4 linked regions of the Sus scrofa genome follow. The protein of the gene in region 4 purifies or fractionates together with the protein of the main gene of each other region. This does not show direct contact. Links are inferred from orthologs where the notes say so. Each region holds a gene or a part of one and is shown on either strand. Other genes may lie near its edges.

What was found.
Region 1: the proteins of ATXN2L (region 4) and G3BP2 purify together in Homo sapiens (affinity purification with mass spectrometry; 4 studies listed by BioGRID and IntAct, counting the BioPlex papers as one, with this or other methods). This does not show direct contact. The link is inferred for Sus scrofa from reciprocal best matches to the Homo sapiens genes ATXN2L and G3BP2.
Region 2: the proteins of ATXN2L (region 4) and G3BP1 purify together in Homo sapiens (affinity purification with mass spectrometry; 4 studies listed by BioGRID and IntAct, with this or other methods). This does not show direct contact. The link is inferred for Sus scrofa from reciprocal best matches to the Homo sapiens genes ATXN2L and G3BP1.
Region 3: the proteins of ATXN2L (region 4) and LSM12 purify together in Homo sapiens (affinity purification with mass spectrometry; 4 studies listed by BioGRID and IntAct, with this or other methods). This does not show direct contact. The link is inferred for Sus scrofa from reciprocal best matches to the Homo sapiens genes ATXN2L and LSM12.

What each region holds. Positions count from the first base shown.
Region 1 is NC_010450.4:71,274,816-71,282,157, reverse strand, and holds part of G3BP2 (ras GTPase-activating protein-binding protein 2), read left to right. Parts: intron 1-3,485; coding exon 3,486-3,588; intron 3,589-4,828; coding exon 4,829-4,957; intron 4,958-5,530; coding exon 5,531-5,649; intron 5,650-5,997; coding exon 5,998-6,270; 3' UTR 6,271-7,342.
Region 2 is NC_010458.4:71,270,877-71,278,749, forward strand, and holds the start of G3BP1 (ras GTPase-activating protein-binding protein 1), read right to left. Parts: upstream 5,209-7,873; 5' UTR 5,191-5,208; coding exon of another isoform or gene 4,729-5,190; exon of another isoform or gene 4,584-4,728; intron 1-4,583. Other genes in the region: uncharacterized protein LOC100514500, read left to right, coding at 4,729-5,190. UniProt on the Homo sapiens protein: Protein involved in various processes, such as stress granule formation and innate immunity. Plays an essential role in stress granule formation.
Region 3 is NC_010454.4:19,125,900-19,133,901, reverse strand, and holds the start of LSM12 (protein LSM12 homolog), read right to left. Parts: upstream 5,273-8,002; 5' UTR 5,185-5,272; coding exon 5,061-5,184; intron 3,013-5,060; coding exon 2,879-3,012; intron 1-2,878. Other genes in the region: G6PC3 (glucose-6-phosphatase 3), read left to right, coding at 7,915-8,002. UniProt on the Homo sapiens protein: Nicotinic acid adenine dinucleotide phosphate (NAADP) binding protein. Confers NAADP sensitivity to the two pore channel complex (TPCs) by acting as TPC accessory protein necessary for NAADP-evoked Ca(2+) release.
Region 4 is NC_010445.4:18,502,728-18,510,605, reverse strand, and holds the start of ATXN2L (ataxin-2-like protein), read right to left. Parts: upstream 4,515-7,878; 5' UTR 3,982-4,514; coding exon 3,680-3,981; intron 3,053-3,679; exon of another isoform or gene 2,340-3,052; intron 2,186-2,339; coding exon 2,149-2,185; intron 1,934-2,148; coding exon 1,877-1,933; intron 1,797-1,876; coding exon 1,725-1,796; intron 933-1,724; coding exon 782-932; intron 439-781; coding exon 314-438; intron 1-313. UniProt on the Homo sapiens protein: Involved in the regulation of stress granule and P-body formation.

The sequences.
Region 1 (7,342 bases), on a different chromosome or scaffold from region 4:
GACTTCTGGATTTTCTTTTGACATGCTTGATTTCCTATTGGATTTGCATTTGGAATCTTGGTACTTGATTTCAGAGAGTTGGCTATGTTTATTTTAAATTAGCTGATAGTCAAAAGTTACAGCAGTTAATTCTTATTAGCACACCTTTAATTTAGTATAGTGCCAGGTATTGTGCAAAGCACTTAATATTTACTCTCATCTCTAATCTTCACAAGCACCCTGTGAGAATGTTTACTATTATTATTCCTTTTTAAGATTAGTAAATAGAGGTCTAGAGTACGTCACCCAAGGTCAGACAGCCATATAAATAAAGTAGTAGGCCTGGGCGTTCAGTTCCTACAGTTGGACACTCATGCAAATCTGTAGGTTTCTTTATAGCCTTTGGGGGGGCGCGGAGTGTATCTCTATTTACATTAGAAAAGAAGAGTGCTATGTCTAAGTTATATTACGTTAGATTCTAGCCTCTCGTCCAGGAAAAAATTTTTTTTTTGTTTTTGTTTTTTTTCCTTTCAATTGTAAGGGACTGAATTGTATTTGCCAACACACCCCTTTATTAAAACAAAAAAAAATTTAACATTTATAATTTAAATCTTAAAAAAACTTTCAGAACTCCTTAAGCTATATTAGAATGGATTCATGATTTTTCCACTTGATTTAATAAACCCTTCAAAATTTTGCTGCTTTGGTGTAGTATCCATTTCCTTAACATGAAATAGATTAATAAACATGTATAGATTAATAGAATAATTAAATCTAATTCTAAGATATTGGTAGGCATTAATTTAGAAGTAGGTAAGTTAATTTGGTAAATTTCTTTTTTTTTTTTTTTTTTTTTTCTTTTCTTGCTTTTTAGAGCCATACTTGTGGCATATGGAGGTTCCCAGGCCAGGGGTCTAATCAGAGCTTCAGCTGCCGCCCTACACGACAGCTCACAGCAACGCCAGATCCTTAACCCACTGAGTGAGGCCAGGGATTGAACCCGCAACCTCTTGGTTCCTAGTTGGATTTGTTTCCGCTGTGCCATGACGGGAACTCCTAACGTGGTAAATTTCTTAAAAATTAATTAGTTCATTTAAGTAGCTTGTATTCAGTTGAAGTATATATTATGTTTTTATTTGCTTTTGTTGACTTGATTTGTTGGTTTCATTTTTACTTCGTATTCTGTTTGATCTTCATTTGTGGGACTTGTCATGTGAGCACATGTTCTGATTTTGTGGAATTAATTTTAGGCCCTAAAGTAGTATGTGATATCTTAGTTATTTTACCTTAATGGAACAAATAATTTTCATGATATTGAGCCTAAAAAATTCTAAGTGCACAGCTGGCTTAGTTGGTGTTTTTTTAATTTTAAATCCTTAAAAGATGATGAAGTACTTTCTGTAGTTATTTTTGTTTCAATAATCTGTTTTTAAAAGAATTTGAATCAGTCAGGCAGAGTTCTTTTTCCTGAATTGAATGAGTTGAGATTTTCCTGAGATTTTTATGAAAGATGTACATTTGCTATTTTTTATTAATTTCTGAAACATAGTATCTTTGTCACACTTTGTTAGAGACCATATATTCTTTAATTCTGTTTTACATTCATACTGAAGTAAGTTGTGCTTTTAGGCCCTTTCTCCCATTCCCCCGCCTTAGTTGAAATTTCTAAATAACTGACCTTTTTTAGGCATCACATTTTTGGTCAAATTACTATGTAATGTTAAATTCCAGATACAGAGAGCAACAGTCTCAGTGCTGTAATTTAGGCTCTATGTCAAGCGTAGAACATTCTCCTCCTACATGTTATGGATTAGAGACCTAAAAGTGGAATTTGATTTTAAATGAACCAATAGTTATTGAACATCCATGTTTAATGGCACTGTGCTTGGTTCTTTACTTGGTGTAGCAACAGATTAAGATATTGTCCTTAAGGAATAAATACATATAATTAATTTTAAAACTTGGGGAGTTCCCGTTGTGGCTCAGCGGTTTAACGAATCTAACTAGTATCCATGACACAGGTTTGTTCCCTGGCCTCAGGGTTAAGAATTCAGCATTTCCATGAGCAGACACGGCTCAGATCCTGGATGGCCATGGTGTAGGCCAGCGGCTACAGCTCTGATTTGACCCCTAGCCTGGGAACCTCCATATGCTGTGGGTGCAGCCCTAAAAAGACCAAAAAAATAAAATAAAGCTTGGGAGAGTTAAACACTAAAAATTTTTTTCTTAAACTAGCAAAATTCTGCATGGGAAGGAACTTCCATTTTGAGGGAAATGGGGAAATCTACATGGAAGAAAAAACAGGATTTTTACAGACAGGCAAATCTGTTGTACTGCTTAGGATGGAAGATAATATATCTTGGTTTACAGTGGGTGAAATTATTTATAATAAATTATTTTTGAAAGAAACATAGTTCTTTGTTCTTGTAAATTATAATATCCCAGTTATATAAGTGATGAAAGAATTTTAGCTACTGCCTGGACTGAGGAACTCAGATTCTATCAGCCATAAAGACAGACTGAAATTGCTAGCTTAAGGACACATTCTTCATATTCCTCCTGGGTGTTTTGAGCATCCTTTGAAGGTGCATATATTTTGTCTCTTCCTGGACCATAAGTATTTGGGCAGTAGACAGCCCGAAGAGGTTGGAAATACTGAAAATGCCAGTGTATTAATAAGGAAAAGGTAATAGTAGATGCAAATGTCATTTTGTTTTTAGCATAGTTACCTTATATGTTGCTTAATTTAGCAGTTAGCAGAAACCTTTGGAGAGTACCTTAAAATGATCTCTTATTTCTCTTGCCACCCCTACGAAGCAGTTAAGAAACGTTGGGTCAGTCCTTAAATAAATGCACACTTCTCCTGTAAAGAAGAGTAGGACTTCTTTGACTGTTTGAGATGCTATGTACCCATTCCTGTCATGTTTTTTACGTGCATTTTAACTTCAAGGTAGTATTTTTAGGCACCAGAATATGCTAAATTGTATATTCTGAAGTATCAAAATAGTGATTTTTTAAAGTAATTATTTATCGGGTGGGGTTTAGAAGATACTGCTGAGCAGTATTTAAGAGCAGCAAACTAGATAATGAGAACATATGTGTCATATATTGTTTTTTGAAGATAAAATGGCTTCTTTTTAACATGTATAAAAATACATGTATATGTATGTGGAGTGGCTTATCTTGCATTTTTGTGATTTTTGTAGCAATACTTTTTATGCTGTCTCAATGTGAGTGTAACTTTTTGGAAAAAAATATAGTTGTAAAAAGCAGTTTATTATGAGTTACATAGTCTTCAGTGGGAAAACAAAACTTACCCTACAGTCCTAGATTGGTACAGAATATCTTTATGAAAATTTGTTTCACATATGTAGAGCACTACGTTAAAAATACCCAAAACTAAAATTACCATTATGCCTGCTAGTGACTTGTTGGTTGTTGCTTTAGTTGGTTTTTCTCCTGTGGAATGTGTTTCTTTAAAATATGTTTTTTCCCTTTTATTTTAGCCGAGAGTGGAAACTAAACCAGAAGTTCAGTCTCAGCCACCTCGTGTGCGAGAACAACGACCTAGAGAAAGACCTGGTTTCCCTCCTAGGGGACCAAGACCAGGTGAGTCAGCCCCTCTGTAGCCTTCAGCACTTAGCACTTGGAAGCTGGAGAAGACGGAACTTTAAAAAGTTTTTAAAAAAAAAACAAAAACAAAACAATGTGTCTTATGTGCAAATCCTTCTAGTACCAAATTGCCTAAAGGCTTAAGTAACTTGCTAAATATAGTCTGGGCAAAACAACTAACTTTTAGGGGTGAATTAGCTGACCTCCCTTGGAGACTCATACTTCGCAGGTATAAAAGAATTTTGAGACACATTTTATTTGGTTATTGTCACTGGTTCCAAGAATTCAAAACCGTGCTGCCAATAACCTATTCTCTTACTTAGCACTTTTCTCTTCACAGATAAACAATAAGCACACCCTGATTCTTCTTATTTTGATTGTCTTAGGTATTAAGTAAGTTGCCGTGATTTTTGACTTGTTTCCATTGTTAGCTGATATGTCTAGAACCTCTCTTTGGATTCTATAAGTATGTTTAGATTGCTTTTGGGAGGAGGTGGGAGATAGTATACATCAAATTTAGAATATATAATTTTTTTCCCACAAAAGTAAAATAAGCGGTGTTATTAAAACCAGAAGTCATGAGAGCTGGAGTTTGTCCTAGCTTTGTCACTGATTGAGTTTATGATACTGGGTAAGACCCTTAAATACTGAGCTTCTCTCATACCATTCAGTTAATACACAGATTTTTCCTTGTGATGCCTTTTTTTATATGCTTCACTATGGTTCTTGTGTTTCTGGGAGAACGAAATTAGATTTTGTGTGTATACGAGCACCCTAATGTGTATGAAAGGCCCTATCAATGAGATATTACTACTATTAAATTTAATGAGTTTGCTGTAATTTCACACAACCAAAGATTAATTTGTGGATTTTAAAATAATAAATATTTAGTACAAATGTACCTCACACTATCTGAGTTCCTGGGTGATGGCAAAAGTTTGGCTAAAGAGGAATGCTTGTACTGCTAATATTTGACTTCCATATAATCAGACCAGTAAATCTAGAAGAAGGGACTTTAGCAATCTAGTCAATACCCTCACTTCACTTTAATGTCATGTTTTCTAACTAACCTACTAATACTAGACACCTCCACCTCCGTTCAAGAAGCTCACTATCTTGTTTAACTAAAACAGGAAACCAAGTTGTTTTTTTATTTTTTTTTTTTATCATTCATTGCTTTGAACTAGTTTTTATATGATATTGTAAACTTTAATATCGGCTCCATATCTTTTCTCAGGCAGAGGAGATATCGAACAGAATGAGTCTGACAACCGTAGAATAATTCGATACCCAGATAGTCATCAACTCTTTGTTGGTAACTTGCCACATGACATTGATGAAAATGAACTGAAAGAGTTCTTCATGAGTAAGTGGTTTAGTTTGCTTTATTGTAATATTAAGCAGGAGAGAGAGCTTGTTTTCAAAATGTAATTAGGATTAAAAAACAAAAACAAAAAAAAACCATTTACCTCTCTATATACTGTGTTTGTCTCTAGGTACCAGTCACCTTTCATTGAGCAGAAGGGAGTAGTAGAAGGTTATGTAAGATGTTTCCCAGTGACTATACTTAGTGTTAACTGACCTGGTTCTGTAGAGGTTAGAAGAGAGAGTGGGATGAATCAGTCTTCAATTTGGAAGTGGAATTTATTTGGTGAATACAAGTCAGAAATAGAAAATGACATTGTATGTCTAATATGTAGGTAACTTTTCTTTTGAAGGGACTAATAAAGATGCAGAAGAGTAACAAAACAGCCTAGTTGTTGGCGTCTTTGGTGAATGACCTATAAGAGTAACTACCTCAACTGTCACTGGGTTGTAGCAGCTTGCAGCTTTATGTTGAAATGGATTAAGTAGATTAAGGTATTTCATCTTGAATAATTAAAGTCTCAACGTATTCTGTTAAAATATTTAACCCTTGGTGTAATGTATATTTTCACAGGTTTTGGAAACGTTGTAGAACTTCGCATCAATACCAAAGGTGTTGGGGGAAAGCTTCCAAATTTTGGTTTTGTGGTTTTTGATGACTCTGAACCAGTTCAGAGAATCTTAATTGCAAAAGTAAGTAACTTTAAGGGCATAATTCAAGACTTTATTATTCCTATTGTATTTAGTATTAATTTGATACATTTTAAAACCAGAGAAAGTCTGGTTAAAGCTAAAATGGTTTTCCCATGGAATGGTATTTATGCAAAGCACAAAGATTTGTTAGTAGTTTTAAAGTCTGAGGTATGGATTATTTCAAGTTTCATTATTTGCTCTGGTAAAGCTTTGAATAGATTACATATTAAGAATTTCATCAAAGATTTTTTTGTCTCTTAGGATTTTCTTCCTTATGTTTGGGTTTGATAATACATTACTATTAATATCTCACCTGCCCATGTAAATTTTTTTTCTTCCTTTTTAAAGCCAATTATGTTTCGAGGGGAAGTACGTTTAAATGTGGAAGAGAAAAAGACAAGAGCTGCCAGAGAGCGAGAAACCCGAGGTGGTGGCGATGATCGCAGGGATATTAGGCGCAATGATCGCGGTCCTGGAGGTCCCCGTGGAGTAGTGGGCGGTGGAATGATGAGGGACCGGGATGGAAGAGGACCCCCTCCAAGAGGTGGCATGGCACAGAAACTTGGCTCTGGAAGAGGAACCGGGCAGATGGAAGGCCGCTTCACAGGACAGCGTCGCTGAAGCTCCACTGTTGGCAAAGTCTTGGCAGTGGTACATTATTCATCGTGTTTGCATTCTTGTTAATTTTTTTTGGCTTTGGAATGTGACACAGCCTTTTTGATCATTTCTTTGATGTGAAAAGCATCTTTGGTTATCAGTTAAATTGAGGTGGACATTATTTCCCCAATTTTACAGCAGGATTCGCATTGTTAATTTATAAATCTAGACTTGGAGAATTAAGGACTGAGAAATGACCATATCTTAAACTGTCTACAACAAAATGAACTTAAGAGGACACGCCCAACTGAATTCAGGTCCTTTGAGTCAAAAAAAACCCCCTCTGCTGCACATTTTGTTTAAGTGTTACTGTTTCTACCTGTTAATGTTGGAAACACAAATAGTGCAATTTGTGCAATTGGAGAATCTTGCCTTTTTTCTTGGCTCCCCCCAAAAATACAAACCAACAGAAACTTGTTATGCACTCATCAAAATGCACTAATGGGTACTCTGAACTCATTAACATTGACATCTGCAACAGGAGGCAACAGGGGAAAAAAATCTTTCATCTTTTTTTCCAGTAGAGCGTAGTTTGTGAAATGATGAGGGCATTTTATCTGCTTGCTGTGACCAGCGTGTGTACACATAAACCTTAACAAGACTACAAGTATATTCCAGAAGGAAATCATTTAGTTATGAACTAAACAAAAATCAGAACTTCAAATGCTATGGTCTTGAATATTAGACCAGATTTAGTAGCTCCATATCTCAGATTTTTCTACCTGCCCCTCTTCAGTACAGGGATGGCTGGCTGCTCAACACACTCCTCCCCCTTTTCCTTTCTTTAAGCTGTGTACAGTGAAAATTTGTCTTTACTGTATTTTTGTTCTCTGGTAATGTAAAAAGCATGATGGTGCCTTCTATTAATACATCATTCCAGTCTTGCTGGTAATTTTGTACAGTATAGTGTATGAATTGCTGTGCTGCAAAGCCAAACAGCTGCAAAATGTCGAAAAATCATTGATGTGTATAAAAATTGCAGTATCTTTAAAATCAGTAAAATCGACTAGCATAATTATTTACCTTGTTCTTCAGT
Region 2 (7,873 bases), on a different chromosome or scaffold from region 4:
AATTTAAAAAAAAAAAAAAAAAACAGCACATTATGAGTCTACTTACATAAAAATTCAAGAAAATGTAAACTTATCCTCAGTGACAGAAAGCAAGAGAAGGGATTTCTGGGGGCAGAAGAGGAGGGTGTGGACAGCAAAGAAGGAATGCAGAGAAGCATTAGAAAACTTTTGGGGGTGATTATTTTCACTATCTTGGTTGGTGTTAGGTTTCATGAGTATAAACAATGCCAAAAGCTATCAGATTGTACACTCGAAACAGTTGTATGTTATTTTATGTCAATTACACCTCAACAAAGCTGTTTTTTAAAAAAAAGTTTTGGAGTTCCCTGGTGGCTCAGCAGATTAAGGATCCAGCATTGATGCCAGGCCCAGGAACTTCCACGTGCCATGAGTGCTAGAAAAAAAAGAAAAAAAAAAAAATGAATTTGGGCCAAAATCTTAAATGTCAACAATCATCCTTTTGCAATATTAACTACAGAAGTTACCGTTGTGGCTCAGCAGATTACAAACCCAAGTAGTATACATGAGGATGCAGGTTTGATCCCTGGCCTCGCTCAGTGGATTAAGGATCCAGCATCGCTACGAGCTGTGGTGGAGGCCACAGACACAGCTCAGATCTGGCATGGCTGTGGCTGTGGCATAGGCCAGCTAAACCCTAGCCTGGGAACTTCCACATGCCGAGGTGTGGCCCTACAAAAGCAAAAAAAAGAAAAAAAGACATGGATTTCCTACGCTTTAGATCTCATAAAGCCTAAACATTTTTTGTGTGTGTGTTTTTAGGGCCACACCAGCAGCATATGGAGGTTCCCAGGCTTGGGGTCCAATCAGAGTTGTAGCCACCAGCCTACACCACAGCTACAGCCACGCAAGATCCAAGCCACATCTGCAACCTACACTGCAGCTCAAGGCAACGCCAGAACCTTAACCCACTGAGCGAGGCCAGGGACCAAACACACAACCTCGTGGTTCCTAGTGGGATTCGTTTCCGCTGCACCAAGATGGGAACTTCAGATCTCATAAAGCGGAAATGTATACATGCCACGAAACAACGAGGGCAAGCTCAAGACAGTCCACCAACATGGAAGGTAATAGTTGGGGCAGTGTCTAAGAAAACCCAAAAGGGACGGTAAGTATAACTCATGCCTTCCAAGATTCTGAAACCTTCAAGGTTTTTGAGTAGGGAAATATTCAGTACATACCTAAGTTCTCCACTAGGTACATCATGCATTTTACCCAATAGTTTAGACAAGTATTTGAGTTTTAGAGCTTCGGTTCTTATAAATAAAAGATTAAAATACCTAAGATGTGTAAAAGCACTTTAAAAACACACATAAAAGGCAGGAGTTCCTGTCAGGCCTCAGTGGTAACGAGCCCGACTAGTACCCATGAGGACACGGGTTCAATCCCTGGCCTTACTCAGTGGGTTAAAGGATCCATCATTGCCATGAGCTGTGGTGTAGGTCACAGACGCAGCTTGGATCCTGCGCTGCTGTAGCTGTGGTATAGCCCAGCAGCTGTAGCTCCAATTCTACCCCTAGCCGGGGAACTTCCATATGCCACAGCTGCGGCCCTAAAAATAAAAATAAAATAAAAATTCATAAAAGGCTATATACAAACACAAAATGTTAATTAAGCAGCCACCAAGGAAGACATCCCAGATACTAAGCTGAAGTGTGTCCCATCCAGAAAGCCAGCTTTTCTCTCTGAACCATCTCTCATATTTACGTTATATTAAATACCTGAAATACAGAACAGTCAAGCAATATGACAGAACGGACTGGCCAGAGGGAAGTGGAAATCTATCACCTAAAGTAATCTAAAGACCTGATTTTATTTGCAAAGGCCTGAGCCCACAAGAGAGCCTCTGACTGCTTTCGGCTTTGTAAAGCCCCTACTCTCCCACTTTTCCTGTGCACATCATTTCTACGGCTTCACTCTATCGTCCTGATTGCAAGTCAGCTTTCCCGACCAAGGCCAGACAGGGTGTCCAGGAATACGAGAAAAAACAAACAGAAAGCTGAGTTTTTAACTTAATATAAATCTAGTCAACCACCACAGTGTCATCACCAACTGTAAATGAGATCACAGTTGCTGGGCCTAAATTTATCTCCGTGACTGGAAGGACAAGTACTACACTAAAGGCTCTTCCCACTAGCTATTAAAAACTGACTGGGGGAGTGAGGGGGGTGTTTCCTTATCTACCTACTTTAACCATCAGCTCCCTTTGTAAAGTCAGTTAATTCTGCACAAGGCGGGCTTAAAGCACAATTAAATGAATATACATTCTTGAATTCCAAAATATTTTAAAAAAACAAATTCCACTGCAAAATGTTGAATTATCAAGCGGGTAATTTTATTAAACCAACAAAAAGAAAAATTGGTTTAGGTCACACATTCAGGCTTTATACCAAATTTCATCTTTTAACACTATTCCATCCATCCTAAGAACCATATTCGATTCATGAACCTATAAAAACGTAAAACTAACCTCTGCCTTTTACTTCTATGCAAAGTGCTAAAACCAATAAAATCACAAAAAAAACTGCAAAGTAGGTCACCAACAAACATTACCAAATCTCCTGATGTTCCCTTAGCACACTGTCAGCTGAGAACAGCAAAGCAGAGTGAGTTAAATAAAGAACAAAGAATTGCCTACTTTTCTACCAGTCAGAAGAGGTACAAAAGCTCAAATTCAAAGGATTTAGCAATAAAACCTCTAGCTTGGCTGGGAGGCAGGAAGGTAGACAAATTTTATATTAATCACAATCTGCTTCAATTCATTCGTTCCTGACAAATGAATGCACAAGAGGTCAACTGGCCTATCCATCTGTGAATTACCAGTTTTCATATTCCTGCCCAACTGATAACCATTTGCCCAAAGTCAAAAACAGTATTTTTTTAAACATCTGAATGGGAAACTATCAAAAATTTCCCTCAATTAATGCATAAAGAACTTTCTGACATATTTTGCCTCCAGAAATAACTAGCTGAACTCAAACCTAACAGTTCAATGTATGTCATCACAATGTTATAACATTTAGTAACTTAAAATGCTAATTCAATAGTTAACTGGTGTCTAAATGCAGGTAACTGGAATTGCTACAGGAAGGCAAGCTCCAAGGAAAACAATGTTATAATCTAAAGCTACCTGTTATTCATGACAACCCCAACAAAGAACTTGTCTTTATAATATTTTGGTCCTTTATCCTACTGTTACTTTCTTTTAAGAAATATGGAAATTACTTGTTAAATGGAAATACTTAAAAATAATAAGCTTCCTCTTAGCTTTTTAATTTCCTACAAGGATCTAAAAATTATGTTTCCTCTGGCTGCAAAAAAAAAATCTTAAAAACTAATCCTAAAAAGTGTCTGCACACACAGAATAAATTTCTTTACAATAAAGAGAAAAAAAATTGAAAGCCACCCCAATAAAAAGTATTCAGAAAAGCTAGCCCCCCCAGTTTTATTGCAGCTTTAGCTCAAGTAGCCATTTGTGATGCAAAGTAATGATTCGAACCTGCAACACAGGAACATTTATTACTTTTACCTTAATACACTAGCCTAAAGAAATATAACTCTACTAGAAATACTTAAACACAAGTCTTTGAAGGTACCTTCTACATTTGCATGTAACAGGAGCACATGCAACAATGCTAAATAGACAGACTTTCATCCACAGAAGATCCCAACCGCCTTAAGGGTAAGATTTCCAATTCCAAGAGCTATCACCCCTAACGCACCGAGCTTAGGCTCCACAGAGGTCAAATGTATACTCTAACTGGGCACCAAGGTTTCCATTCCAATTTCAAATTTTAACTTACACATGCTGGCTAGATCTGAAACGCCTCAAAGTGCAACCTCATTTTCCTCGACTATAAAACGAGGAAGTCAAACAATCTTCTCCAAGGTCTTTCTCGAAAGTCTGCCCCAATTAAAAAATGAAGCAAAGATTCAAGATATCAAGGCCTAACTTCCTGCTGGTGGGAATTTCCCATCGTCAGCCTACTACGTTTCAAATCTGACAGCACACTGTCCAGGTTCAGTTGCACTTAGTCATTTTATTCTGTCGTTTCCCCAGAAGCTTTTAAGGCAGCACGTCCGTCAGCCACCTGTAGGAAAACCTGTCGCAAGGAGGCCCAAACCCTTTCTCTTCCTTGGTCACAGACCCACGCCCAACCCTTGTCTCCCTGGAAGCCCACAACTGGCCCAACTACAAATGCCGCTGCAGTCGACCTTCCGAGGCTGGTACTGTCCCCAGGGACTAGTGCTCTGGGGGCAAAGGTGCCCTGGAGCCGCACACGGCGCTGCAACAAAGACTACAATAGACTTGGGGGACGAGGAGTCAGGTGGCCTGCGTTCAAATTCCTGTCCCTAACGATCTGTGTTCGACCGTGTCACTCCACCGCTGGGCCTTCGAATCCGCTGTAAACATTAGAAAATCATGGTACCTACCTCATCGGGACATTGCGGGACTAAAGGGGAAACACACAAGGTGCGCACGACTGTGCCTGGCACAGAGGGAGGGCTTAGAAGATGAGTAGTTAGTACTATCATCATTCGACATCCACGAAGTCGCTGCTTACCCTTCACTCGCTGTAAAAGCTTGGGGGGCAGCACTTCTGCTTCCCGAGTCCAGAAATTCTCATCGCACTTTCGTGCCCCCCCCCCCCCATAAAAGCCTTCTCTGGTCTGGGATTAAGCTGGAGCTACAGCCAGGAAAGGACTCGGATGGCGCGTGGGGGTGCGGGCGGGAAAAGCTGGCGAGCTCGCCGCGCGGGGCCCCAGGCCCTCGAGAGCACTCTGGGGCTCGGGCGGCGGCTGCGGCTCGCTCTCGCCCCGCGTGGCCGTTGGGCGCGGCACGCGCACGCCGCGAACGCGGACACGGCCACGCGCGCCGGCCGGTGGGGGCGGGGGGCGGAGAGCTCCTGCGCGCCCGTGCGCCTGCCGCGCGCGCCTGCGGCCGTTGGGGCGGAGGTGGGGAGGGGGAGCTCGCACAGTCGCCGTTCGGACGTCTCCCTCTCACCTCTGCCCCAGCTCGCCCTCCTACCGGTCCAGCCCCGCCCACACCCTGCCGTACCTGCACGGCTGAACGGGAGAGGAACAAGCTCTGCTCCACCGCAAGGCAAAAGGCAAATACCCTTCACGCAACTGCGTCCGCACACACGCGTGCTCCGTCGCCGGGCTATATAACCGAGACTCAGACTAACTTGTTGCGGCCAAGTCGGGCAGGCTAGTGGCCAATCCCGACGGCGTCCTCTGAGCTCTTCGCGCAGCAATTGGGTACTGACTCAGGATGAAGGCGTGGCTCTTGATTGGCTTTGACTTTTGCCTATGAGCCTGTAAGGATCTCGTTTCCCTAGTGACGGATTGGCACTGAGAGAGACCAATAACGGAAAGGTACGGTGGGGAAGGGGCTGGGAACTTCTTTGACCGATATCCACGGTAGCCAATAAGTGCGTGCAGCCGTTCCCATTCGTTAAAACGTCTTCCCCTGGGCGGAGATCCGTTTTCCATGCAGGAGCGGTTGATCCACAAGGTGGGGCCCTTGTACTTTGGGGAAGTAAACCCCAAGCAACTAGGAGGTGGGCGCCAGGGTGGCTGGGGGGCCCCGGCCCAATCGCAGCGCGGAAAAGAGGTGATTGACGCCGGGGTTGAACGGTACCGAGGAGGCTGAGCCCCGGGGGCCGCCTTGCCTTCTGGGGAGGTTCTGAGGCTTTCTTGGCCCCGGCTTCTGTCCTTTTCCCTTTCCTTTCTTCACTTGTTGGGTGCGGTCCCTGAGGCCCCCTTCTCCCGCTTTTCCCGCACAATTTGGTACCAGCCGAACCAGATGGTGAAGTTTCCCGTTGCTTTATTTTATTTTTTTCCTCTTATGCCAACTTTTTTATTTCCACGCGGCCGCCTAAGGGCACTTGCTGGTTCTCAGCATTAGTCAGCACTATTACTGGACAACCGTTCAAGGAAAGCCAGAGGAGAAGGTAACTCCCGTTGTGTACCTAAGGGCTTGTAAAAAGGTCGCACGTGAAAACTGTTGACTTTGAGGACACTCGTTTCTACTCTGCCCTTCTGGGCAAGTGCTGCTGCAGGTCGGCTAGTGGGTGTTGACCGAGGAACAAGAGTTTGTTCATTCTCCCGGCAGCTTGGCCCTTCCTGTAACATCCTGTGCGTCACCACCATTGTCATTCCCATTTCCAGTTGCCCTAGGTGTGGGGCCTTATTTCTTGTAGTCGTTACATCTTGAAAAGGTAGTTTGTCAAACTCCTATGGACACCCCAAAGCGTCCCTAAAACACCAGAGGCTAAGTGACGCTCCAGCCCGGTCCTGTCCACGTCTTCTAGCCTTTTGTTAGGCCCTCTATTGGTCACCCTGAGCATTTCACATGGAAATACAGAGACACGCCTCGTTTGAGTCTCCTTTGCAGGCACGTGGTCCTGGGGAGGGTCTCAAAATTTTGTAAATTTGGAAATAATGCACGTGGAGCCTCTGCTGGGGGCGAAAGGACAGGGGAGGCAGCCTGGTGGGGTCGGGGTGCAGCCCCAGAAGCTAAATGGGAGCGTCCCTCTGCCCCCCGCCCCCCAAGCCCCACTCCTGCATCAGCCTCTCTCATTCAGCACTTAATGAACTCCAGGGGCTGGGGTCAGGGATGATCAAGATGCTGCTGACCCTGCTTGCTGCCACCCATTGAACAAACCAGGGCCTGGAAGCTCCTCCGCGAGCTCGGGGAAACTGGGGAAGGGGCATATGGGACTTTGGGGGCAAGGAAGGGATCTCGGCTCAGAGGAGAGGATCCGCCACAGGTTTTCTGATTTAAGGAACCTCCAGGATCTCGTTAGCCTTACTAAGGAATTTGGACTTTACTCGGAGGGAGATGAGGAGCCCGTGAAAGATTTCTTAAAAGGTGGACGAGGACATTTGCAGGTTTTTTTTTTTTTTTTAGGCCCCCCCCCCCAGCATATGGAAGTTCCCAGGCTAGGGGTCAAATCAGAGCTATAGCTGCTGACCTACAGCACAGCCGCAGCAACACCAGATCCGAGCCATGTCTGCGACCTGCACCACAGCTCATGGCAATGCAGGCTCCTCACTGAGCAAGGCCAGGGATCGAACCCACATCCTTAGAGATACTAGTTGGATTCGTTTCTGCTGCACCACAACAGGAACTCTGACATTCGCAGTTTTCAAGACAACTTTACAAACTGAACTGCTAATCAGAGCAGACTGGCTGTGAATCTTGGAATTCACAGATGAGGTTATTTAACCCAGGCAGCCTGTGATTGGGCTATTCTTAATCACATTTGGAGGGAATTTTAAATGATATAGCTGTTTTTGTAAGGCTCTTTGGCAATCTGTTAAAATTGTGTATGTGGGCGTTCGAGTCATGGCTCATCGGAAATGAATCTGACTAGCATTCATGAGGACGCAGGTTCAATCCTTGGCCTCAATCAGTGAGTAAAGAATCTAGTGGTACCTTGAGTTATGTAGGTCGCAGACGAGGCTTGGATCTGGTGTTGCCATGGCTGTGGTGTAGGCCACAGCTACAGCCTCAATTTGACCCCTATCCTGGGAACCTCCATATGCCACAGGTGCAGCCCTAAAAAAAAAAAGATAAAATTGTCTATACCACCCTTCTTGCAAAATAGACACATTTCTAGAGTGTTCATTATACGCACTGTCAGCTTTGTTAGGATATTTAGAAACTGAAAATGTAGTTGCTTATCAGTTTGCAAACAGATTAATCAGTGACATGCCGACAATATAGAATATTATGTAGCATTTTGAAGGAGAGCAAGATAGGAGTTCTCTCCTGGCACAGCAGGTTAAAGGTCCAGCATTGCCTGCAGTGTCTTGGATAGCTACTGTGGTGTAGGTTTCCAGCCCT
Region 3 (8,002 bases), on a different chromosome or scaffold from region 4:
GTCAAGTATAAGAAGAAAACTGCTTTTTCTTTTTCTTTTTTTTCCCCTCTTTTCTAGGGCCGCACCCATGGCATATGGAGGTTCCCAAGCTAGGAGTCTAATTGGAGCTGTTGCCGTCAGCCTATGCCACAGCCACAGCAACATCAGATCCGAGCCACATCTGCAACCTACACCACAGCGCACAGCAACGCCGGATCCTTAACCCACTGAGCGAGGCCAGGGATCGAACCCAAAGCTTCATGGTTCCTAGCCACATTCGTTTACCGCTGCACCATGATGGGAACTCCCAGAATTGCTTCTTAACAGCTTCCACTTAACAGTCCCACCCACACTACTCCAGCCCTTCCCTCAGAGAAACGATGGTACTCGGTGGTCACGAGAGCAGATCTAGATCTTTTAAATTTGAGAAAACCATCCCTCTCTCAGATAATCTTCCCTCAACTACTCACTAAAGGTTCAGTTATTTAGTGACAACCTTCTCATACCCCACAAACACTAAAGGATAACTTAGAGCCTACTTTTACCCTCAACATACCAAGCATAAACTATTTTACTTGAACCTTTGAAAATTTCTTCTGCTAATAGAAGATTGTTAAAAGATCTCTTACTTTAGGGAGTTCCTGTTGTAGCTCAGTGGGTAAAGACCCCAACTAGTATCCATAATGACGCAGGTTCAATCCCTGGCCTTGCCCTGTGTGCTAAGGATCGGACGTTGCTGAGAGCTGTGGTGAGGTCACAGACTGGGCTCAGATCCTGCACTGCTGTGGCTGTGGTGTAGGCCAGCAGCTGTAGCTCCGATTCGACCCCTATGTTGCAGGTGTGGCCCTAAAAAAAGCAAAATCTCCTATACTTTAACAGGGGGATCAAGCCAGGATTTCAAAACAATCTACAGTTCTAAGAATGGGATACTCTCTATGCAACAGCCTTTAATATGAAACCCAAGACCCTTCCTTCTTTTTTTTTTTTTTCGGGCCGCACTGGCGGCCCATGGACGTTCCCAGGCTAGGGGTCAAATCAGAGCTTCAGCTGCCGGCCTACCCCACAGCAACGCAGGATCCAAGCCTCTTCTGCGACCTACACCACAGTTCACGGCAACGACAGATCCTGAACCCACTGAGCAAGGGGAGGGATGGAACTCTCGTCTGCATGGATACTAGTCAGATTCATTTCCACTGAGCCACGACGGGCACTCCCCCAAGACCCTTCTAAATCTATCTTCAAACATCACTGAAAAACACTGGTGTTTCCCTGGAATTTAGAAAATAGGGTGCTCCAGATCTGAGGTAACTACATACTGCCAGCCTCAGTCACCCTCTGTATTTCCAGCTGCCTGTTTCCTCGATTTGCTGAATTGTCGCAAACATATCAAATTCCCAAGAGAAGCAAGAGATTATACATTATTACAAAACCCACAGAGGGAAAAACTTCCACCACACTAAATTTAAAATACTTAAGAAAAGGTAGCTGCTACAAAAGATGAATGTCTAAATCAGTCATTCAACAAATATTTATGAAGCACCTACTCTGTGCAAGGCTCTGTATATTCAGTGATGAACAAAGTAAGAATATTCCCATCCCTACAAAACAAAGTTTAGTGAGATAGAAAAGTAAACAAATGGGAGCTCCCATCGCACAGTGGTTAATGAATCCGACTGGGGAACCATGAGGTTGCGGGTTCAATCCCTGGCCTTGTTCAGCAGGTTAATGACCTGGTCTTGCTGTGAGCTATGGTGTAGGCCGGTGGCTACAGCGCCAATTAGATCCCTAACCTGGGAATTCCATATGCCAAGGGAGCGGCCCTAGAAAAGGCAAAGAGACCAAAAAAAGAAAAGAAAACAAATAATATACAATTATGATTACAAAAAGGCTATGAATAGGATAACCTTAAGTCCCAATTTTCCCAGGACACACCAATACATGCTTGTCTCAGTGTACAACAAAAGTACCCCTCACCCTTTACTCTCAAAAATGTCCCAGATTAGACTATAAACATGTCACCTTATCTTTCAAGGATAAGATACTATAAGAGAGAATAATGGAGGCAAATCACTTTAGCCTGGCTGATCAGAAAAGACTTCTTGGAAGAGGTGACATTAAACTGAGTCCCTGATAGATACAGCTCCAGTTATTCTGAAAGAGGATTCCAAGTACTCCCCCATACTTGGCTAACAGAAATGAAGAATGAGAAAAGTTATTTGAGGGCTCCCCAAAATCAATCTGGATTTCCAAGATTAGAATATCCTAAACCTCTAAATTTTTTTTTTTTGGCAGTGCCTGCAGCACGTGGATGTTCCCAGACCAGGGATGGGAACCACAGCAGTGAACCCAAGCCACAGCAGTGACAATGCTGGATCCTTAATCCTTTCCACACAAGAGAACTCCCTAAACCTCTAACTTTGTTAGACCTCAAAGTTCAAACATAAAAACAAAAATGAAGCTCTAGTGCAGTGGTTTTCAAATCTTTGTAGGTCATGAATTCCTGAGAACCTGAAAAATACTTCAGATCTTCACCCAGGAAACACATAAACTCACTTGTGCACAAACACACAATTTCAGGAGGTTGAGAAGCAACACCCCACCAACATCAAGTTCATGCATATGGACTCCAGGTTAAGAAGTAAAAACAAGCCCTCTCCCAAAGGACAAAAGCCAGCTCTCAACTCTATTTCCCCATTTGGGCATTAAGACATTTCTTAAAATCTGAAGATATCCAGGAATAAACAGAAAAACTAAACTGCTATATTTTTCCGAAAATACAAGCAATTGTAAATTAGTGAAAAAAATGAAAAAACAATGGACAATGTATGTGCCACCAAGACTCAATGAGACTCAAATTTCCCATCATTTTGGAGAGCCAGAACTGCCCTCAAGTCCTTACCTTACTAACATTGAGTGAAGCTAGGGGAGGAGGGGTTTCTGTTCGGTCATTAATTATTTCCACTTCTGAAACATACTGTAAGTTTATGAGCAAGATGTCTGCGTGGTTGGGCTTTCCACTGGAAGAGGGACATTCTGGTGAGAAAATAAAGTTAAGGAAAATTGGGGGAAGCAGAGCACTAACACATTCCAAAGGGACATGGAAAACACAATTCACACATGACTTGTGTAAAAGGTATGCCACAAGCAAGAGGGTGGCCTCAGGAGAATCAGCTCTCCTCAGGAAATCTCTGCCTGTCACCTTCCTCCCGATCAACCCCACGACCAAGGGATCTCAAGCTTTTCAAAGGAAAACACAATCCAAAATTGGAAGCCTCAACAGGGTTTCTGTCACCTTCTCTCTGCTGGTTTTATGCAGAGGCTTGACGTAGTTTTAATGCTGTAAGTATACTGTTTGCCTTGAACCTAATGAACCACACAGGAGAGCAAGTACTTTCTGTTCTTGGTATCCTTCCTATATCTGAACAGTGCTCTTTTCACTTTTTCAGATTTGAGATTTCCCATTTTGCAGGAAAAAACTACAGCACTGGAAAGGAAGCTCACTCAAGGTGACCCAGCTAGTTAACCCATCCATTCATTCACTCACTCACTCATTCTCTGACCATTTAAGAGCATACTGTATATCAATTAAAAGCTGAGTAATTTCTCATTCCAAAACCCCTCCAATTAAACCAGTAATGTAAATGGTCTTTAATCCAGGTATGTATTCTTGTATTTAAAAAACACAACAAAGTAGTTCCCATTGTGGTGCAGAAGAAACAATCCAACTAGTATCCATGAGGATATGGGTTTGATCACTGGTCTCGCTCAGTGCGTCAGGGGTCTGGCAATGCCATGAACTGTGGTGTAGGTCGCAGACACCACTTGGATCCCACGTTGCTGTGGCTGTGAAGAAGGCCAGCTGCTGTAGCTCCAATTAGACCCCTAGGCTGAGAACTTTCATATGCTGTTGGGTACAGCCCTAAAAAAAAGCAAAAACAAAAACAAAACTATTCTTGCTGTAATTAGTTTCAAAGGACATCTTCCTAAGCTAGAAATCTAGGACTAGTGGTTAAATAAATTAAAACACTTGCCACTCAAAAGCAACTGACTCAGAAAGAAACTTCCTTTTGAAAGGTGCCATTAAAAAATTACTCCAAGAAAAAAAAAAGCCAAATAAACCCACCTGTGGCTCAAATAAGAGGGGAAGGGGTGGCACATTTATTACAACCAGGAAGTATTTTGTTTCCAAGAATGACTTTCCTGGAGTAATTCAGAAATCATTTCCACCCCGAAGAGGCTACTTTTTCCATTCTAACACTGCCACTTTCCAAAGGGAAGGCTACTACTATGGAAAATCAGGATTCCATGCGCTGGGCTGAGCAAGAGAATATAACTTACTCTTTCACCTGTAACCCATACATCGATACATAAGCCCCCGAAAAACGTGGTCCTCTCTCTGCACCAGGTTTCCAACACAAACATCCCCAAAATAGCAATTTCCATATGACTGAGAAGCCCAAAATTCAGCACTCCCCGCCCCCACTGGCACCACAAGCACACACACAAGCACCAGGAAAACAAGCCCCATCCCCAGTTCAGATACAAACTCCTATCCTGCACTTACTCTCCCCCCAAAAAGGAGAGACCCATTTGGTCACTACCCCACCGCCCTTTCTTGGACGAAATCCCATCAGCAGACAAACCACCTAAACTCCATACCCTTGTCCCACTAGCAGTTCCTTACTCTGCACACCCCGTCCCCACAGGATTTTACCCTCCCCGCCTCCATCCGGGCTCCATTCCCCAGCCCCCTCCCACGACCACCCCTCTTCTAATCACTGTGTCCTCTCTCCTAGCGTTCGTCCCGAAAAGCCACCCGCGTGTCAAGCCCCCTCCACCCACCCACCCTCGTACGGGGCCCAGCTCCCACAACGCGTGGGGGACAGGGTCCCCACCGCGGACCGAGGGACCCGCGAGAGGGGGAGGGGAGCTCAGGGCCGCGCGCATGCGCTCCGAGCGCCGCGGTAGCCGGTCGCCCCTAGGCCCGGAGAGGCCCCAGCCACCGCTGTCGTCCCCCGCCCCCCCACCACCACCGCACATACACGCCGGCCCGGCCTTGGGCTCCGCGCAGGGAAGGATACTTAAAGCCAGCATTTTGGACTGGTAGTCGAAGGCTACCACCTCGCCCTGCAGCCGCTGCTCCTGGCACGTCCGGCACGACACCTGGCTCCCAACGCTGAAGTACTCGCCCGGAGGAGCCGCCATCTTGGGAGAGCAGCCGCGGCCGGCGGCAGCGGCGGCAGCAGCGGGCGAAAGCCGGGCCCCCAGTGAGCGCCGCGCCGCGACGCACGAGGCGTGCTGACGTCACACGCCAGGGCGTGGCCTGGGTTGGGTGGGGCGGGATCCTAGGTGGAAGAGGGTAGACGAGGAAATAAAGAGGAATCTAAATAATTATGTTTGTGCAGCTGCGCCCACTTGGTGAAGTGTTTGCAGGGTCCATTTTAGAAGTTAAAGATAAATGACCTATGTAGAATAAAAAAAGGAAGGAGGAGGGAACTGCAATCTTCATTACGTTCACGCCTAGACGCAAGAGTTTAATGAATGAACTCTGTATTTTACATATGAGGAATCGAAGTCCCAGAAAACTCATCAAAACTTGCTCAAAACGATTATACCTAGTTATAAAGTGGTAGTGGAAAGGACTTTGGCTGTCGAATTGGCTAAACTGGAATCAGTATTCCACTGAGTTATATGACCTTGAGCAAATTATTAAACCTGATCCTGTTTCTTTACTCCGTATGTATTGTCGCTATTGAGCACCCAACAACCCTTCGATGTAGAAGTCAATATTCTCATTTTATAGATGAAGAAACTAAGTCTTAGGCTAAACTTTTTCCAAGGTCGCACAACTAGCAAAGATTCCATCTACCTGTTTCCAAAGAGAGTGCTATTTACTGCTATGCTATATTAGACAATACCTCATAGAGACTTTGGGAGGAGTGGAAGATAAAAAAAATAACGAGTACAAATGCATGGCATGTAGTAGGTCCTTAGTAAATGGTAGTATCTCTGCCATCACCCCTCACCCTTGGAACTCAAAATTCTTCCCCATCTCCGGTCTTGTCCCCTCCTCCAGAAAACCAAGCAAAGAGTGAGGAGCAGTGGTAGGGACAACTGTAGCCATGGAGCAGGAGTTTGGGGCTCCCTATTAATGACTATCTAAGATCAAAAACAATTTTCCTAACGTGTAAGTACCATGCAGATGCATTTTCAAGCCCTACTATTGCAAATTACCATCCCTAACCCATCTACCCCTCCACTATAGAAATTCTGGAGCCTCACGTCTAAATAACAACAGGCAGAGGGAGGGACACAAAGGGCCAGACCTGACACTTCTTAACCTGAACAAAGTTCAAAAATTTTTCCTTGCCTTGCAAGAGCCATCAACTTCCTAATGTTGGGTCAATATTAGTATAATCATTTTAATAGAAATAAACATTCAAATCCCTCATCCTTGCGTTTTTCAGAGAATCTTCATGTCTCCCCCATAAGTCATAAATAACTGCCACTCCACTTTTTATGCAATGTTGTCATTGTTGATTTTCATAAATGGTTGCCAGGCACTGTTAGAAAAAGATTCCTGGAAGAAGTAAAAAATCTGAGACCTGAAGGATAAGCGGCGAAAGAGCGTGGCCATGTTCCAGGCAGAGGGAACTGCAGATGCCAGGACCCCTGAGAGAAGAGAGCTTGGTGATATCAGGCAGCTCAGAAATATCAGGAAACAGTGTGAGACTGGGCTGGTAAAATTTGTGTGGCTAGAGCCCAAGCAAACTTTCAAAGACTTAGGAAATTGAATTTTTTTTTCCTTTGGGGCAATTGAAAAACATTTAGCAAAGGAGTGAAATGAGATTTTTTTTATCTAGCTTCCCTTCCCCACACCGTTTTAATTAGTGAAATTAATCTTTCCAAGAAAAACCCGGATTTACATTTTCATCTTCACCCTTAAAAAACAAAACAAAACACTCTCCAAGAACAAAGTTGCTTGAGGTAGGAAGGAACCACTTCAGCAGTCTCCTCCCACCTCACCTCTGCCTTTAGGCAAGACCTCGCCTGGAATAGCTGAGATTTCTATTTTCTGTGTGTGCTCCTTCAGAGGATTATTCCAATTTTTGTCGTGGGTGTGTGCCCCTCCTCTTCCCTTACCAAGCTAGCTACTATCTCATGGTTTATCTGCCCAGCGGGGTTTTGGAAAGCAAAATGACAAAAGGAGAGGAGCAAGGCAAGCTTAGAACTGGGAGGAAGTGTGACTTAGACTGCTATGTGTAAGCCTTTAGGGACAACTTCTCAAGATCAAGAGGCTTATCTGTCAGCCTCTAAATCAACAGCGTTTGAATTCAAGCAGTGGAGGCTTGAACCGATTAGCCAGCAGTGTGTGCCAACTCAGCCTCCCACTTCAGCGCCCACCGGAGATGCCTAGCTCGATCTCCAGAAGATCTCCAAATATCTTTGGAGGGTAGCGGTAGCGGAGGAGAAAGGTTTGGTCTGGAAGGATCCTGGCCCTAAAAATTACATATCCATCCTCACAGCAGCAAAGGAAGGACCCTGGGCGCGTCACCGACCCTCAGGTTAGTCTGTCCCTTGACCCGGAACAGCAGCGGCAGTGGCCTCTTACGCTGATGCCCACGTGCCGGCAACAGCAGCCACGTGGGGATCTGCGGAAACGCCTTCGCAAAGATTTGTCCCCTGCGCTGCCCAGTAGAAAGGAAGGCCCGGGAAGAGCGCAGAAGGAAACGGTACCGGCAGGAGGCCGGGCTGGGGCAAGCCGGGGCTGCCGGGGGCGGGGCAGGGGCGGGGTTTCGCTGGCAGCTGCCGGGGGCGTGGCCTCGACTCCGAAGGGTGGGCTTTGGAGCGCAGTGAGTAGCAGTTTCCTTGTCTCCTGGACTCCTCCGCTTCCGCCCTAGATCAAACCCTGGCCGGGCCGGCCACTGGGTGGTCATGGAGTCCACACTGGGCGCGGGCATCGCGATGGCCGAGGCGCTGCAGAACCAGCTGCCCTGGTTGGAGAACGTGTGGCTCTGGGTCA
Region 4 (7,878 bases):
TTGTTTTGTGGGAGGGAGATGGGCCTACACAGTACTCAATCTCATCCATACCTGCCCTTATTAAGACTAGAAAAAAATCGACCTAAAGCACATGTTAATAGTTGACGGTCACAGATGGTGGAAGAACAGGTATTTTTGCTGTCTTCTGTCCCTTTCCATTGGAATCCAACTGGAATCCATAGGGAAAAGTAAAGGATGCTTCCCCTGGCCCACCCCATTCACTGTGGGTTCTAAGGATAATGTCACTGACAACCACCCACATTCTGGCAGCAGAGCGTCCCAGCTCTCAGGCTCTGGGGGAAGAAGACTGTACCATGTCAGACTCGAGGTCGTAGTCATCGCTGTTGCTGTCGCCCCCCTCCCAGCGCTGAAGCACCTTCTCTTTGTGCTCCCCATTCACCTTGGAATTCATGGCAATGGCTGAATCAGTGAACTTGTCTGTTGGAGCAGATTGAAGATCAAGAGTCAGGTGATATTTCATAGCCTTTCCTCCAACACCCCCCACACCTCCCCATCCGAGCAAAAAGTTTGTATGTGTCAAGAGTCTGGGAGGTGGTCTGCAAACAAGGCAAGGGAAGTACAAAGAACCACAACACAGGCTGGAATTCACTCCACTGTATCTTAAAACGTCAAGACACACCCTCGAGAAGAAACCCTAGCCATCTTCCTGAGAAATAAAGGAAGGGGATACAGAGGAACAGGGAGAAGATTCACCGTGTAACTGTTCTCTGCTCTTTACCCAAGAAATGGATCTGACCTAACAGTCTGGTCCAATAAATACCTTTAGTAGCATAATTGAAGTCGACATTTCGGAAGTGGACAAGCATGACATCACTTGGCTTAAACACCATGGTGTCCACAATGTCTTCCCGACGAGGGCCACCTGCTGGCTCAGATGCTTTCCGGTGCACAGCGTCTACTGCCAGTTCAAACTATAAAAGTTCCATTCACCAACACACATGAGTCAGTATCAAGAAATGTAAAGGCAAAAATAGGACTACTTTTATCTTATCCTTTTTAAACTTTCCCCCACACACCTTCTCACAGGAACTGTCTTCTCGACATCAGCCATGGAACTTATTCAGCAAAAATCTTTACAAAGTCACATTTTAAAAATTTGAGCATTTTAATATCCAAGAATACCAGCCCTCAGAGTTCCCACTGTGGCTCAGTGGTAATGAACCCAACCAATACCCATGAGGACAGGGGTTTGTCCCTGGCCTCCCTCAGTGGGTTAAGGATCCGGCGTTGCTGTGAGTTGTGGTGTAGGTGGAAGATGAGGCTCCGATCTGGCATTGCTGTGGCCAACAGCTATAGCTCAGATATGACACCTGGCCTGGGAACTTCCAAGTGCTGCAGGTGTGACCCTAAAAAGACACCACCCCCAAATTTCAAACCCTTTTTTTTTGGCCATGCCTGCAGCATCTGGAAGTTCCTGGGCCAAGGATCGAACTCTTGCCACTGCAGTGACAATGCCAGATCCTTAACTGTTAGGCCACCCGGGAACTCCTTGAACCCATGCCTTTTAATTCCATGTAGCACTATTCTGCAACAGGCACAAAGTTGGCCAACCCCACTCATTTTACATCTTCAATGAGCCTATTTCACTCTCCTCCACTTCCTCCCATGCCAACTCTAAAAAGAAACTAACTCAACACTCCCAGGTGGTCTAGTGGTTAGCATTGGCGTGCTCTCCAAAAATAAGCCAGTTTGAGTACACTGACCTTTGAGCTCAGTGTCTTGAAGATACCTTCATAGGTGGTACCATTCTTCACCTTTACATCACAAGTAGAGCCCTGAAAGAGCGGGAAAATAAGGACGAGTGCCTCCAGCAAACGGATGCATTACATTCCTAAGAGTTTAGGTACCCACTTACCACAACAGCTGTAAGGAAATGCAGCATTCTGGAATTGTTGTAGACACCCTCAAACACCTGTCAGTAACAAAGGAGAGACAAATAAAGGAACAGCCAGTCAACATCTCACCTTCCTTCTAAATGCCCACAGTCCACTAATATCCACCTTATATGTGCTGGGCCCCCTGCTATTCCCAACCAATCTGACTATTGTTGCACCTTATCTGCCCTACATCCCCATCCGTGCATCTTTTAGGTCTCTGTGCCTTGGGTGAGGGGGAGAAGGCACTCACCGGTGACTGTGGGGGTCCCTTTCCTGTGCTTTGTCCTCTATAAGAAAAGGAAACAAGGAGCTAGTTATTTCATGCTCAATCCTTTTTGTACCATTGATTTCAAAGGACCTGGTATGTTAGAACCATATATCATGTAAAGATAATCACTTAGGCTACAAACCAATTAATCAACACTACTTTCAAGATCTCACCTTCAGAGCAAGAAGGACATTAAAAGCCATTTCCTCCAATTGCCAGCAAAACAGACCTCAGTCATCAAGGGTTGTCAAAAGCCAATTCAACACAACCTTTTCACTTTCTCCAAGAGGGCCAGGGCTGCATGCTTCCAACAGACAAATGCTATAATATTTGATAACTAACAGCCCACCCCAGATGTAAAGATAGAAGCTCACAGAGTGAGTACCTAGATCAGGCATGCATTTATTACCTCCCCAACAGAAAAGACCATCATTTCCCGTAGCCTTGCGCCCTAAACCCTGGCAGGAGGGGTACTCCCTCTACAATCCACCCTCTCGATCTCTTTACTCATTCAGCCTATTACCCACTCTGGAAGGGGTCACCAATCGCCTGGTAACCCTGCTCCTCGCTGGCTGATGTAACCGTCGGTTGAAGAGGACGATCAGGGGGCCGTTGGCGGGGCTGGGGGACAGCGCAGCCGCAAAAGCTCTCCACCGGGAGGCCTCGCCCGGTCTGCGCCTGCGCACTAAAGCCCTAGGGCCTCTTCAAAATCCCCCCTCCCGCGATCACAACCCACTGCGCCTGCGTGTACCTCCACTCTCAATTCTATAAACCCACAAACAGAAGAAACACAGTGGGGTGTCCACCACTCATCCAAGAACACCCGGCGAACCCGTCCAAGCACACTCCCGGCAGCTGCCCTCTATGTTACCCGGGGCTCGAGAATGGCCGGGTCATAAGACTGAGCATCCGCGCGCACGTACGGGAAGCGCGCGCGCGCGCGCTGGAGGTTCCCGGCCCGCAGTCCTCCCAGTTTTGTCCCTCCTTCCGTCCCCCCCGCCCACTCTGCTCCATTCCTACTGGCCGGACTGGGAAGGGGGAGGTAGCAACTCGCTCCCAAGTCCCTCCCTCCCCATTGGCCAAACTGTGGGCCGCGCGCCCCCCTCCATTGGCTACGGCCAGGGACCCCTTCCCGCAGCTGACTCCCCATTGGCTGAAGCTCCGGACCGCGAGACCCTTCGTGGTAATGGAGCCGGGGACCCCTATCACCTCTTCACCCCCCCAACTCGTTCCGACGCCGCTGGCGGGATGCGCCCTGCCTGCCCTTAAGGCCCAAGCCCCGAGCAGTGACTGGTCGCTCAGAGCTGAGCGCGCACCCTCAATGTCCCGGTGGCTAGCCGCGGAGGCTTTCCTCCGACCTGTTAGAACCTGAAGGGCCCACCCCCAGCTCCACGGGATTTCCCCACTCCCCCTGGCGTCCCTCAAAGGTGGCCAGAGGCTAGAGGTCTGCCTCGCGCGGTGTACAGGTCTCGGCCACCTTGGCTCCGGCGCCCGGAAACCCACACGTTCTCACCTGGCGCTGCCGATGGCCGCTGCCCCTGGCCTCTCCTGATGTTGCTGCTGCGGCGGCGGCGGCTGTGGCGCCAAGATGCCCTCGGTTCCCCGGCGGAGTCCGCTCCCGGCAGCGGCTGCAGGCCCTAGGCAGGGGGAAGCGGCCGCGGGAGGCCCTGGGGGAGCCGAGGTGGAGGCCAGGGGCCCCGGGAGGCCGCCGTTGGGAGGGCTGGTGCCCCCAGGAGGCCGTCGGGCCACGGCCTGTTGCGTGGGGGGCGGCTGCTGGGGCTGGGAGGTCTGTTGTGGCGGCTGAGGCTTCAACATGATGGCAGCGTCCGGAAAGGGAATTAGGGGGAAGGGAGGGAGAGAGGAGGCCGGGGCTGGGGCCCCGCCGGAGAGCGCGGGAAGCGAGGTGGACTGGGAAGCTGGGGACCCGCCGTTGGCGGGCGGGGGCGAGCCCCGCGGTGTCGGGGGTGGATAGAGAAGACCGCGGCGCGAGGAAGCGCCGCGAGGCGGAAGGGGAGGGGGTCTCGCGGGCCGGAGGAAAGCGAGAGGGCGCGAGCCGGCTTGGCGCGCGTGCGCGTCGCCGGGGAAAAGGGAGGGGGAGGAGCGCCCGGGCGGGAGCTCCCGAAGGGGGAGGGGCGGGGAGGAGGGAGCGTCGGCGCGAGATGTCCGAGCGCACCGGGGCGGTTAGCTCCGGGCGACAGAGGAGGGAATAAAGAAAGGTGAATCTCGCGCCTCTAGCCTTTGGAGTGGGAGAGGAGCAGCGCGGGCGCTCACGCGCGCCAAGGATTTAGGGTCTCTAGATCTCAAGCAGCCCAGAAGACTGCCGGCCGCTGTCGCTTCACAATGAGCGTGTGAAGCGCTGGGGGAGGAGCCGAAGCAGCAGAGAGGAAGGAAGAGCCGGCCGCCCCGCCTACGCCGCCGGCGTAGCGTCGGGATGCCTCCGCAGTCTTGTGAGAAGTCACGACGTAGCGTGCAGTTCTTCCGCCATTCGGGGGCCTGTGGGCGGAGTCTTGAGTGCAAAAAAAAAAAAATCCCGAGAGTAGACCCGGGACTTCGCTGAAGCTGGTGGTAGTTTCGTGGGGAGCTACTCTCGGAGCTTATCTGATTTACATAAAAGCCTGATAGGCGTTAAAGATAGCAGTTTGGAGATAAATATCTGCCTAATTCTAAATTATATTATATGGTTTTCAATATAGTAATTTCTCCACGCCCTGGAACGGGACTCTTAAACTAGCAGCAAAGAGACTGTCTGAAGGCCAAAGTTCCTAGAGTCTAGTTCAAAATCCTCCACCCCACTCGACAAGGAAGGTAGCCTTCATTCATTCAAATTAGTTGGTCATTAGGACATTAGGCTAGGTGTTTTCGATATAACTGTAATGAAATTACTTCCTGCCCTTGTCAAGGAGTTTAAACTAGTGGTAGATTCAGACAATTAGATCTCTTAGGTGAAGCACGGGGCACTAAGAGTAGATAGGAATGACATCTAATTCAGCACTGGGTGATGGGTTTCTAGGCAGGGGGCATAGGATGTGACAAGTTAGGAAAACTTCAGCATGTCTGGAGTATGAAATTAAAGAGGGAGGAGGTTGAAAAAGGAAACTGGAAAATTAAGTAACGTGGGACCAGATATTAAGGAGACATGAGCATAATCCTCAAAGCAGTGGCCACAGCAACACCAGGCCAGAGCCACATCTGTGAGCTACAACACTGCTTGCAGCAATGCCAAGTTCTCTAACCCACTGAGTGAGGCCGGGGATTGAACCAGCATCCTCATGGATACTAGTCGGGTTTGTTAACTGCTGAGCCAAGATGGGAACTCCCACTAGTTGGATTTTTAACCTGTTGAATCACAAGAACTCCCAGATTTACATTTTTTTAATGAACTTTATTTTTTTTTTAACGGCCACACCTGCAGCATATGGGATCAAATCCTAGCCACAGCTGCAGCCTACGCCACAGCTGAGGCAACGCCATATCCTTAATCCACTGTACTGGGCCGGGGATAGAACCGGTTCAATTTTTAAAAGATTACCCTTTGCAGTGTGGAAAATAGAGTGGAGGAGTGATGAGTCTGTGGTTTCAATCCCAGATAAACTTCCAGTGTCTTTCTCTCTCTTCACTCCAGACATCAGCATTGGGACTCTTGCAGCTTTCATTTCTCCCCTAAACAGGCACACACTTCACTCAAAGTCTGCCTTGCTCTTGGGTAGTGTTCCTTCATCCCGCCTGACTCCTAGCTTTGAGAGTGTTAGGTTCCCTTCCTGTGTGTTTGCCCAGCAATTTTCCCAGCTTCATTCTATGAGTGGTTTTCATTCTGTCTTCCTGCTGGTGTCAGCTCCTAACAATTGGAATCTTGCTCTTATTCACAGCTCCTTCTGCAAGACCTAGCACCATGCAGGCAGTCAATTAAATACCTGTGAGGTGAATGGATCCAGGACTATGTCTCCTGGATGTCTAAATAACACAGTCCAGGAGTTCCTGTCTTGGCTCAGCAGAAACGAATCTGGCTAGCATCCATGAGGACAAAGGTTTGATCCCTGGCCTCGCTCAGTGGGTTAAGGATCCGCATTGCCATAAGCTGTGGTGTAGGTCACAGATATAGCTGGGATCTGGCGTTGCTGTGGCTGTGGTGTAGGCCAGAGGCTAAGCTCCAATTGGACCCCTAGCCTGGGAACCTCCATATGCTGTGGGTGCGACCCTAAAAAGACTTAACTAAATAACACAGTCCAGTTTTTTCCTGACATGACCTATACCACCTGATGCTATGCCACCTCTCCAGCTGGCCTCATTATGGGCACTTCTGTCTCGCCCACCTCATCCTGCTCCCAAACTCTGCTAAGTTTCAGCCTCGTTAAACTCTCATTTATACAACATACCTTGACTTTATTCAACTCTGCCTTTATACGTGCTATTTCTTCACTTAATCCTCATTGTTCAAGCTCAGGTGTCAGGCCTTTGGAACTTCTTGTTATTGACTTCCTACTTCGGGCTCCCAGAGCACTGTGATAGTTTATTTCTGGGTTTTTTTTTTTTTTTTTTTCTTTTTAAGTCTTTTTAGGGCCACACCCATGGCACATGGAGGTTCCCAGGCTAGGGGTTGAATCAGAGCTGCAGCTGCTGGCCTATACCATAGCCACAGCAACTCAGAATTCAAGTCACATCTGCAAATTACACCACAGCTCACAGCAATTCTGGCTCCTTAACCCACTGATCAAAGCTAGGGATCAAACCTGTGTCCTCATGGATACTAGTTGGGTTTGTTACTGCTGAGCCACGTCAGGAACTCCATGTTTTCTGTTTTTTTTTTTATTTGTTTGTTTTTTGTATGGCTTCCCTTTCCCTTGGAGCCTGAGGTCAATAAAGTCAGGGACTATATTTTACTCATTTCCCTAACCTTCTTGTATAGCTCAGTGGCTGGCACACAGTCGCTCAATAAATTAATAAATGAATGAAATGTTGTCTTATTATATGCAACTTAGAAATTACATTACTTTGATTTGCTAAGGAGTGATTTCCAGATATATTGTTAAATGAAGAAAGCAAGTTCAAGAGTATAAACTGTGTTACCTTTTGTGCAAGGACGAAGGGGGAATAGGAAAACAGAAATGTATCTGTAAATTCTTGCAAAGAAAAACACAAGAAGGATAAAGCGAAAACTCATAAAAATGGTCACCTGTGAGGGGCAGGGGAAAATGAAGGGTCCTTGGTTTTGGGGTTAATTTATTTATTAATGGCCTTTAATTTATTTTTTAATGGCCTTACTTATGGCATATGGAAGTTCCCAGGCCAAGGAATTAATCTGAGCCACAGCTGCAACCTACACAGCAGTTTTCAGCAACACCAAATCCACTGTGCCGGGCTGGGGATCGAACCCAGGCCTCCACTGCAACTCCAGTGGCTGTTGCAGTGGATTCTTAACCCGCCGTGCCACAGCAGGAACTCCAGATTACATCCTTCTTTTATTTATTTTGCTTATAGGGCCACACCCACACCATGGAAGTTCCCAGGCTAGGGGTCCAATCAGAGCCACAGTGGCTGGCCTGCACCACAGCCACAGCAACGCAGGATCTGAGCCACGTCTGGACCTACACCACAGCTCATAGCAACGCCAGATCCTTAACCCACTGATTGAGGCCAAGGATCGAACCCGAATCCTCATGGATCCTAGTCGGGCTCATTAACTGCTGAGCCACGAAGGGAATGCTGCAAACCTTG